2 linked regions of the Oryzias latipes genome follow. The protein of the gene in region 1 purifies or fractionates together with the protein of each later gene. This does not show direct contact. Links are inferred from orthologs where the notes say so. Each region holds a gene or a part of one and is shown in the gene's direction. Other genes may lie near its edges. The genes, in order: succinate dehydrogenase [ubiquinone] flavoprotein subunit, mitochondrial; sdhaf2.

Evidence for each region.
Region 2: the proteins of succinate dehydrogenase [ubiquinone] flavoprotein subunit, mitochondrial (region 1) and sdhaf2 purify together in Homo sapiens (co-immunoprecipitation; 3 studies listed by BioGRID and IntAct, counting the BioPlex papers as one, with this or other methods). This does not show direct contact. The link is inferred for Oryzias latipes from reciprocal best matches to the Homo sapiens genes SDHA and SDHAF2.

What each region holds. Positions count from the first base shown.
Region 1 is NC_019874.2:14,714,587-14,719,177, reverse strand, and holds the start of succinate dehydrogenase [ubiquinone] flavoprotein subunit, mitochondrial, read left to right. Parts: upstream 1-1,644; 5' UTR 1,645-1,688; coding exon 1,689-1,751; intron 1,752-3,138; coding exon 3,139-3,222; intron 3,223-3,347; coding exon 3,348-3,509; intron 3,510-3,609; coding exon 3,610-3,753; intron 3,754-3,899; coding exon 3,900-4,064; intron 4,065-4,178; coding exon 4,179-4,327; intron 4,328-4,425; coding exon 4,426-4,550; intron 4,551-4,591. Other genes in the region: ccdc127 (coiled-coil domain-containing protein 127), read right to left, coding at 1-268, 379-623, 771-954. UniProt on the Homo sapiens protein: Flavoprotein (FP) subunit of succinate dehydrogenase (SDH) that is involved in complex II of the mitochondrial electron transport chain and is responsible for transferring electrons from succinate to ubiquinone (coenzyme Q).
Region 2 is NC_019861.2:18,852,693-18,857,268, reverse strand, and holds the start of sdhaf2 (succinate dehydrogenase assembly factor 2, mitochondrial), read left to right. Parts: upstream 1-1,627; 5' UTR 1,628-1,723; coding exon 1,724-1,750; intron 1,751-2,963; coding exon 2,964-3,187; intron 3,188-3,866; coding exon 3,867-3,976; intron 3,977-4,576. Other genes in the region: cpsf7 (cleavage and polyadenylation specificity factor subunit 7), read right to left, coding at 379-582, 961-1,047.

The sequences.
Region 1 (4,591 bases):
GGTCCGACTCCAGACCAAGTTCTGCTACAGCAGGGTCCTTAACAACCTTGAGCAGCATGTTCTTCTCCATCTCCAGCCGCTGATCTCGAGGTTGGATGTAGGAGCAATAAGCATCCTGCCGCTCCATCAGCTGACTCTCCAGTTCCCTCAGCGTGGCTGTGGCGTACAGACACCAGTTGTTTTCCCTCTCCAGGGCTTCGCGCAGAGCCGCACCAGCGGCGCCAGATGTCAGCCACCTTTGCTTCTCTCCGTTCAACACATCTCGCTCCTTGTAAGGAAGTAGAAGGTGTTTGGGTCAAGGTTAGGCTTTAGAATTAGGAAAAGAAACACAAAAGCATACAAACTTTAAAAGCAAAGAGCTCTGTAGGTCTTCTTTACCTGCTGCAACTTTTTTTGTTCTACTACAAGCTGTTGCCTCTGTGACACTATTGCATGCCTGTAGCCTTCTCCTCTCTGCTTCTCCTTCTCCAGCTCCAGCTCCAACGTGGCGGCCGCCCTCCGTGTTTCTGTCAGTGTCTCCTGATAACGCGCTTCAAGTTCACTTTTTATTGCGGAAACATCTTTGCTGCACTCGTCTTTGACCCTCTGGATCTCCTGCTGGGATTCTTTAGTCCAGATCCAACCTGAAAATACAGAAAGGAGCACATGAGAGTTTAGGAGGAAACCAGATAGGTTTTAGTGATGCATCAATATCATTTTGATTTGTTCATTGAGCAACATACCTTAAATGTTGCTCTTTCTCCTATAATGCAAAAGGGAATCAAACTTACGAAATGCAGCCAGCCCCAACATGGGGACCAAAAGGGCGTAGTTCCATGGGTTCCCATCACCTACACCCGCCTCCCTCCCCCTGGGGTCTTGCTGGATGTTCCACCTGGGGGGGTTGTTCAGGTTGTTCATGCTTGCTGCTGTAAACAAACACACACACACAGCAGAGCCAAGCATCAACAGCATCTTAGTTTATTTGTTTGTTTACTTCTTTTGCTGCAAATAAGTTCACTTATCTATACCTCCAAATATGGCTCACTAGAAGAAGTCACTGATTAACTCCTCAACAGCTTATACTTTACACTACAGCACTGCTAAAAGCAGCTGAAGGCAAGAAAAATATTTACTCATTTTGTTTAGAAATCCCACAACACAATACAGCCCATTGATCGGTCTGTGCTTTCACTTTTGACTTGTTTGAGAGCATTTCATGCTAGTTTTTAGCTGATTAGTAACTCAACCTTTTTCTTTGGGGGTGGTGACCGCCTGAGCATTTTATTTATACCAAATGGAATAATTTGCATGTCTAAAGTGCGACAACAGAACATTATCTGTCTTAAATCTATGAAGTTTTTGCTCACCTTGGAGAAAATGTCTAGGTCACTTCAGAACTTGTTCCTACATACACCGCTTGTATAAGTATTTCTCCTTAACGGTCCACACATCGGTAAAGGGGTGGTAAATATAACTGAGCCTTTTGAAAAATTTATATTTTTCAGAAGTCACTGGGTTGACTCATGTATTGTATTAAATTTACTAGACTGCATTAATTCTCTTGTATATAATACAACAGTTGTAGCTTAAGGAGGGAAAAACAATCGCCAAGTTGATCAATTTCCCCCCATATTTACTGAATGGTTTGGTCCAGTCCCACAGAATATTTCTTCCCCACCAGCGCTTCAACATTCTGAGCTGGCAACATGGCGAGTGTTCGCGCTGCGTCTCGTCTCCTTTCCAGGAGGGCGATCTCTAATATTAAAGCAGTGAGTAACGAATTATTGACAAACTAAATTAAATTGAACAGACATTTATCTGTTTGCACCAATTCATTTGTGTTCGTGTGATCATTGTTTGTCTAAGTTTGAGCCAGTCTTTAGCTTTCATAACGGCTAGGTTACGGTTTGCGTAATCTATTATGTAGCATAGGGTGTCTCAATGTGACATAAGAAACAACGCGTTTTGTTGCTGATTTAACCAGAATAATTCCCAGTTTACTTTATATTCCTATTTATGGTTTATACATGCTCTCTTACATTCACTTTTTTGGGGATTACTTTATAAACTAAAATGTTGCACACATGGATGGAGGATTTCGTCTAAAGTGAAATGTTAGCTTTAAGCGCAGGTCGTACTTATTATTGTATATATAATGAAGTTATTCATTAAATACAATTGGCCTCTTAAAAGAAGGACATTGCTAAACTTGCTGGTCTTGTAGTTGTGCCAATTAGCCCGATGGCGCAGTTAACCAAAAAACGTCCAGTATTTTGATTTATTTGATTAAAAAGCAAAATGCCGGTATGAACAGTCACTTAAAGCACTACTGAGAAATGATGAACATTAAAAGTAATAGTCGTTAAAAATAATAATAACAACTAACAACAATAATAAATCACTCAACACGGAAAGTGTAAATTATTTTAATTTCGGTGGGAAACAAAAGTAGTGCAGATTTTAGTTCCACATGTTGACTTTGCAGAAATCGATTGCACTTGAAGAGATAAGAGAGAACAATTTACGAACCTTTAAGATAACTTTGGTAAGTGACTCTGCAGTGACAGAGGCTTTCTCAAAGAAAAAAACTAAAAAATATTAATATTTTATGTTTATACCAAATCAATACCCCAGGCAATCATTTGGACTTTTAAGTTAAGGCTTTTTTTTCCCTCTTTCAGATTATTCTTAATCAGTAATTTGTATTTCTTTATTAGGTCAGCTGTTTTTCTTTTTCTTTCTCAAATTTAACTTGAAGGAGTGAGGCAAATGGTGAGCTATCGATGCCTAAAAGCTTTAAAAAAGTTGGTTTAGGTAATGACTTGTAAAAGGAAAACCTTTTATCTAGATTGTATAGCATAATACATTTATTTATACATTTATTTATATGTACAGCATAATTCTGTACAAACTACATTTTCAAAAATTGTAACATGTCTATATTAAAAAAACTACTTTGTTTATGTTTATCTGGTATTACACATTACTTATAGTTTATACATTTGGAGACGAGCTTTAGGGCAAAGTAGAATAAAAGAAAATGAAAACATGTCTTCTGGATCTGTATTAGGATAGATCTTTATTGCTATTAATATACTGTATGTTGTTTCTTGTTAGCTTTCTTCTTGAACTAAAGCCGTCTTGCTCTCTTGTCAGGTTCCTGCTGCTGCAGTTCAAAATTCAAGGAACTTTCACTTCTCCATCTACGGCAAAAAGAATAATGCCAAAGTTTCAGATGACGTGAGTGCCGGTACTAGATGCACTGGTTCTTAGGGTTTTTTTATTTGTTTGTTTTTTTTGCTAGTGTGGCCTAAGTTCTTGTTCATGATGCAAAGTCACATCAAAATTTTGTTTCTCCCCCTCAGATATCCACTCAGTATCCAGTGGTGGACCATGAGTTTGATGCAGTGGTGGTGGGAGCCGGAGGAGCGGGGCTGCGGGCCGCTTTCGGCCTGTCTGAGGCCGGCTTTAACACTGCCTGCGTCACCAAGCTCTTCCCCACCAGATCCCACACTGTTGCTGCACAGGTGAGAACAAGATGGAGTTGGACATTTGGATGGATATGAGACGGATGTGGAATAATTTCCGATGACTTTGACAGGCTTGAATATGTTTGATTTTCCACAGGGTGGGATCAATGCGGCTCTGGGAAATATGGAGGATGACGACTGGAGGTGGCATTTCTATGACACAGTGAAGGGATCTGACTGGCTTGGAGACCAGGATGCTATTCATTACATGACGGAGCAGGCTCCTGCTGCTGTCGTGGAGGTAGGAGTTCTGGAAAAAACACTAAAGAGCTGGTTGTCATTGAGCGTCTGCGGGGTTTGAATTTAAGACTGCTGACGCCAAATAAACAGAATTAAGCCTGAATGCAAAATACAGAGTCAGAAATGAGTAAGGCATTCTTTTCCCAGCTGGAAAATTTTGGCATGCCGTTCAGCCGCACTGAGGATGGGAAGATTTACCAGAGAGCCTTTGGAGGTCAGAGTCTGAAGTATGGAAAAGGAGGTCAGGCTCATCGCTGCTGCTGTGTAGCAGACAGAACAGGTCACTCGCTGCTGCATACTCTTTATGGAAGGGTGAGCCCATCTACTTCATCCTTAACTCTTTCAAAGCACCGAAGAGCTTTTCTAGCTGTTTGGTCTCGTCGAACTGCATTTTAATCATCTGTTTTTCTTATTTTGACTTTTCAGTCACTCCGTTATGACACCAGCTACTTTGTGGAGTACTTTGCTCTGGACCTGCTGATGGAAGATGGGCAGTGCAAAGGAGTGATCGCTCTCTGCATGGAGGATGGATCTATTCACCGCTTCAGATCCCAAAACACCGTCATTGCCACAGGGTAAGACTTCGCTGTGACTCCCTCTCGTTTATTTGAGAGCTATCGGAAGTGAACACATGTTGGGAAATAATTTCTATGCTCTGTTCTTTTTCTTCCAGAGGCTATGGAAGAACCTATTTCAGCTGCACATCTGCCCACACAAGCACAGGAGACGGAAACGCCATGGTGACCAGAGCTGGTCTGCCCTGTCAGGACTTGGAGTTTGTGCAGTTTCACCCCACTGGTGAGAAACTTTAGTCATTTTGCATAAACCCTACATTCAAA
Region 2 (4,576 bases), on another chromosome or scaffold:
GAATATTAAAATTTGTCACAGGATTTTCATATAACTGTGTAAATTACATCCAAACCAAGAGACCAATTGTTTTTTTTTTTTAAATTAATTAACTACTGTTTGTCTTACACACATAGAAGAAATTACAAGTGTCGTGTTTTTAAGCAGGAAGAAAGTTTCACCTTTAAGAAAAAGTAAAAACGTTATCAAAAAGTCAAATATAAGATTTGAAAAAAACATTTTAATTTTCTTCCATTTATTATAACAATACGATTCTTTAATTTTAGCAACAGGTGCCTCTTTTACCATAAGGTGCTTTGGACCTCATCAACAGGAGGAAAATGACTGCACCCACCTGATGCTCAATGCTAAATTCTACTTTCGCTTTTACAGACTTACCCAGGGAAAATTTCCAATATAGATAGCCAGTCTCCTCTTTGAATTTCCTTGAGCTGTTTTCTCCATTTGGATGGATTTACCATCTTTCTTTGTTTGGGCGTGCTGCGCAGCATCCTCTTTGATATATGTCTTCTTGTCTTGATTGACAGAACCAGTTAAAACGGCATCAAAAAGTTCATTTGCTTCTGCAATTTTATCAAAATCCTGTAAAGAATAATAATAATAAAAAAAATCAGGCATAGTTTTATATCATTTGTCCATAGACAGCTGCAGTAAACACAATGAGATAAATGTCAAATTCAGGATCTCACTGGTATGAACATACAATTTATATTTTCAAATGGTCAAAAGAAATAGGGATTTAAACTAGCAATTTGTTCTAAAATATACGGTAACTGTAAGGTTACCCTCATATTTTTAGTGTGACCGTTGATTTCCTCATTTCTTAAGAAATCCGAGTTGTTGTTTTTTTGTTCGTATATTGTCAGAAAATACATTGTCACAAACGAAGTGGTATCAATATAACGAACTAGGTGCATGTTTTTTTTTCTATTATTGACTCTGAAAATGTTTTTAGCGTACCTCTGGTTCGTTCAAGCCATCATATATGTCATCGAGGTCTTGTTGTGATGTGCTGGATGATCCGGCTGCAAGCTGTGTTGCAGCCATTCCGAGAACCTCGGATGTGCAGTTCGCGCTGTTTTTTTCCGCCCACAAAATTTACAGTCTGTTTTTACAAGCACTGTCTGTAGAAATTCTCTTTCTTTGTGAATTGAGGCACCGCTAGTACTACTAGCATTAACAGTTAAAACAATGTTAACGTTTGCTGCGGAAGGCTTGCGAACAATTCACCTGATAACTACCACCAAACGCAATAAACCGGAATTTAAATGATCTAAATTGGCTTTTTAAATCAATAATCAATAAAACGTGTACTACGTTTCACGTTAAATGCACAACAATTCCATGCCAGACTACTGAATACACGCTTGCTGATTGGCTACTGCTAACGTTTTAGCATTTCAGTGAAAACGTGAACGCACCAGTGACTACCAACCGGCAAGAAAGTAAATTCCACACATAGTTCCTAGTTTAAAGTTCCTATTACGATTTGATTTAAAACAGTTGCATTTACACACCAAAAATTTAGAGTAACGCAATTCCGACATTTAAAAATGTTTTTTTCATGAAGTTGGGCATAATTACGTGAATGAGTGCCTTTAAAGTGTCTGTAGTTATGTAAAATTCGCCAACGTGAGTTTTCAGTCGGAATTTTGAAGGCGACGCACAGATTTGCTTGTGTAATTGCACAACAATCTGTCAACTTTACACAAGGAAGGTGAAGATGTTGTCTGGTCTTGTGGCGAAAAGAGTGAGTTTTTCCTTGACTTACTATTTACTTGTTTAAAACACGGTTGCCGAACAGTCAGACTTTAGAGTGGGTTAAAAAGCACGTTGAGAGAGATTGTTCCCTGCTATGTAATTGTCTCGTCGACGACCGTGTTTTATCAAACCAAACAAAGTGTAACATCGTTGTTCGTACAGAAACGGAGAAGACAAAAGTAATGTCCTTGATTTAAATCCTTGATTATATGTATATGTTTTACCTAAGAATATCTTAGTTGAGGGGAATTGTTTGATGTTAGTGCTCTTGGCTTAATGTCACTTTCTGCTTGCTGGAGAGCTTTTTCAAAAATGATCAAAACTTCTTATAATTTAAAATTTAATTAAATTTTACTTTTAGATATGCTAGGCAAAGTATGAGCTATTAAAGACATTCGTGTAACATTAGTGATTTAGTGTAAAACAGTTTTCGTACGTTTTTAATAGGAAAGGTGCTATATAAATAAAGTTTGATTTGATTATTGTCCAGTAAACATTACAAAAAGTCTTAGCAAAAAACGTTTAAATGTGTAGCCCTTTTCTATCCCTAAACAAAGTTTAATGAAACGGGCTAAAAGAGTGATTGCATAACATGACATCACGTTGAAAGGTAAATAAACTTAGCTCAAAAAGGAATGGTGTGCTTGTTAGAAAAAAGTTTTTTTTTTTTTTAAAGTGCTACGCTTTTAAGTAAAATGCTTGTGTGTAATGAGCGGCAAAGCAGAAGAGGATTTAAGTTTGAACAACCAAGACATTTCAACAAAGTACCTGTTCATTTAAGATACAAGAGGCTATAAAGTGTGTGGAAGAAGCGTATACAGTCACAACAGCCTGACTCCTCCTCGTGCTGCTCATTAGCATCATTGCACACTGCTGCAGCTGGCACTTCATCTTTCATCCGGCGTTTGTTGCAAGTCGGTTTACGTGGTTGCGTTGGTCACTGTGGCTTAAGCAGTACCCCCAAACTGTTCCCACAAGTGTTCATTGATGTCGTGGTCAGAAATACCATTCCATCCTCCAAAACTATTAAATTCTGGAGGTAGACTATGACAACCCCCATACTCAGCTTAGCTACTTATCCTGCAAATTCATTTTCCTTACTTGAAAAGTAAAACAACCCAAATGTCTTTACTTATCATAGGTTTACAATGGAATACTCAGGTGTTTCTCTGATGTCCTTTTTTGTGTGTGATTCATTCCAGCTTGTAACAGGACTGTGTCAGGCATCATGGAGACCAGCCATCACAGGGATGGTTTCATCCCGTGGTTACCGTGGAGACGCTCCTGATGACAATAAGTTTGACCTGATTGAGATCCCTTTGCCTCCATGGCTGGAAAAGCCAGACGAGCCCATCAACATCAAGAGACGCCGGCTTCTTTATGAAAGTCGCAAGAGGGGCATGTTGGAGAACTGCATCTTGCTCAGGTTGATGTCAAGTCTGGTACAATAGATCCCAGAGACCTATTGTTTCAGAATTTCTCCTTACGACATCTGCATGAATTATTCTGCATGAATTCTGCATGAATTTGGGGGGCCGTGGTGCAGCGGTAGGGCGGTCGACCCATGATCGTAATATTGCAGGTTCGATTCCCGCCTTGCACGCCCATGAGTCGATGTGTTCTTGGGCAAGACACTGAATCCGATCTTGCCCATGGTGGGAGGTTGGCGCCAGTGTTTGGCAGCGGAGCCGCCACCAGTGTGTGAATGTGTGTGTGACTGGGTCTGTGACTGTAAAACACTTTGTGCCTTGTAGGTAGAAAAGCGCTATATAAGTATACGCCATGAATTAGACTGTAATTGTCCTTAGTTATTTTAGTTTTTTTTTGCAGTTTCATGCAGGTTCTACTTACTGTCGTCTTAAACAAATATTTCCTTGATAAAGTATTTCCTTAATAAAACACCGTTCCCATGATTTAGTTTTTGTATATTTTTGGACAATTGTTTGGGCTTTTTTTTTTTTCAACAAATTTAATTTTCCTCCTTTACTTTGTCGTCATTGCGAAAGGTTCTTTCATGTGCAATGAAATCATCTCTACGGAGTATCTATGAATTTCTATTCAGGGAAGTGAGTAAAGGGTTTAATGCATTCTAATTTCTTTTGTAGTCTTTTTGCAAAGCGATACCTGAATACAATGACAGAAAGTCAGCTGCTGCAGTACGACAGACTGATTAATGAACCAAGCAATGACTGGGACATCTACTACTGGGCCACAGGTAAGATATTCATTCTCTTGTTTTTTTAATCTTGTGTTTGTTAATTTCTGGGACATTTCATTTATAACTTAAAAGCTTTCTAGCTCCAGCGTGAAATGAGAATAGTTTAGACCCAAACAATAAAACTTAAAATAGCTGTTAAGCAGTCAATGGATTTTGATCTGAGACAAATTTAGCTCATACTGTAAACATGAGGACAAAATCAATTCAATTTCAAATCATTGAATGTCCATGTTTTTATAACAGTTTCGTTGTTCTCAGCATAATTAAAGTTTGGGGGTTCAAATCTTGGCTGCTGTTTTATACAAAAAATACAAATGTAGAGATCAAGGACAGTTGATTTGGAACATCAAAGAAAAGTAGAGTCATTTAAAACGTCAATAAAAAAGGTAAAATTGAGGATAAAAGCCACTCATTGTCATTATGTGAATTGTTGACATTATAAAATATTAAAATTTGTTATGTTGGCATCATTTTTTGGCAGAGGCTTCACTGTAGAGCACACAAACTTTCATCTAATTAATAATCCCTATATCGGAGGCACACATGGGCATCCATAGTAGGACATTTCAAGATTACATATTAAGAGGGACACAATCC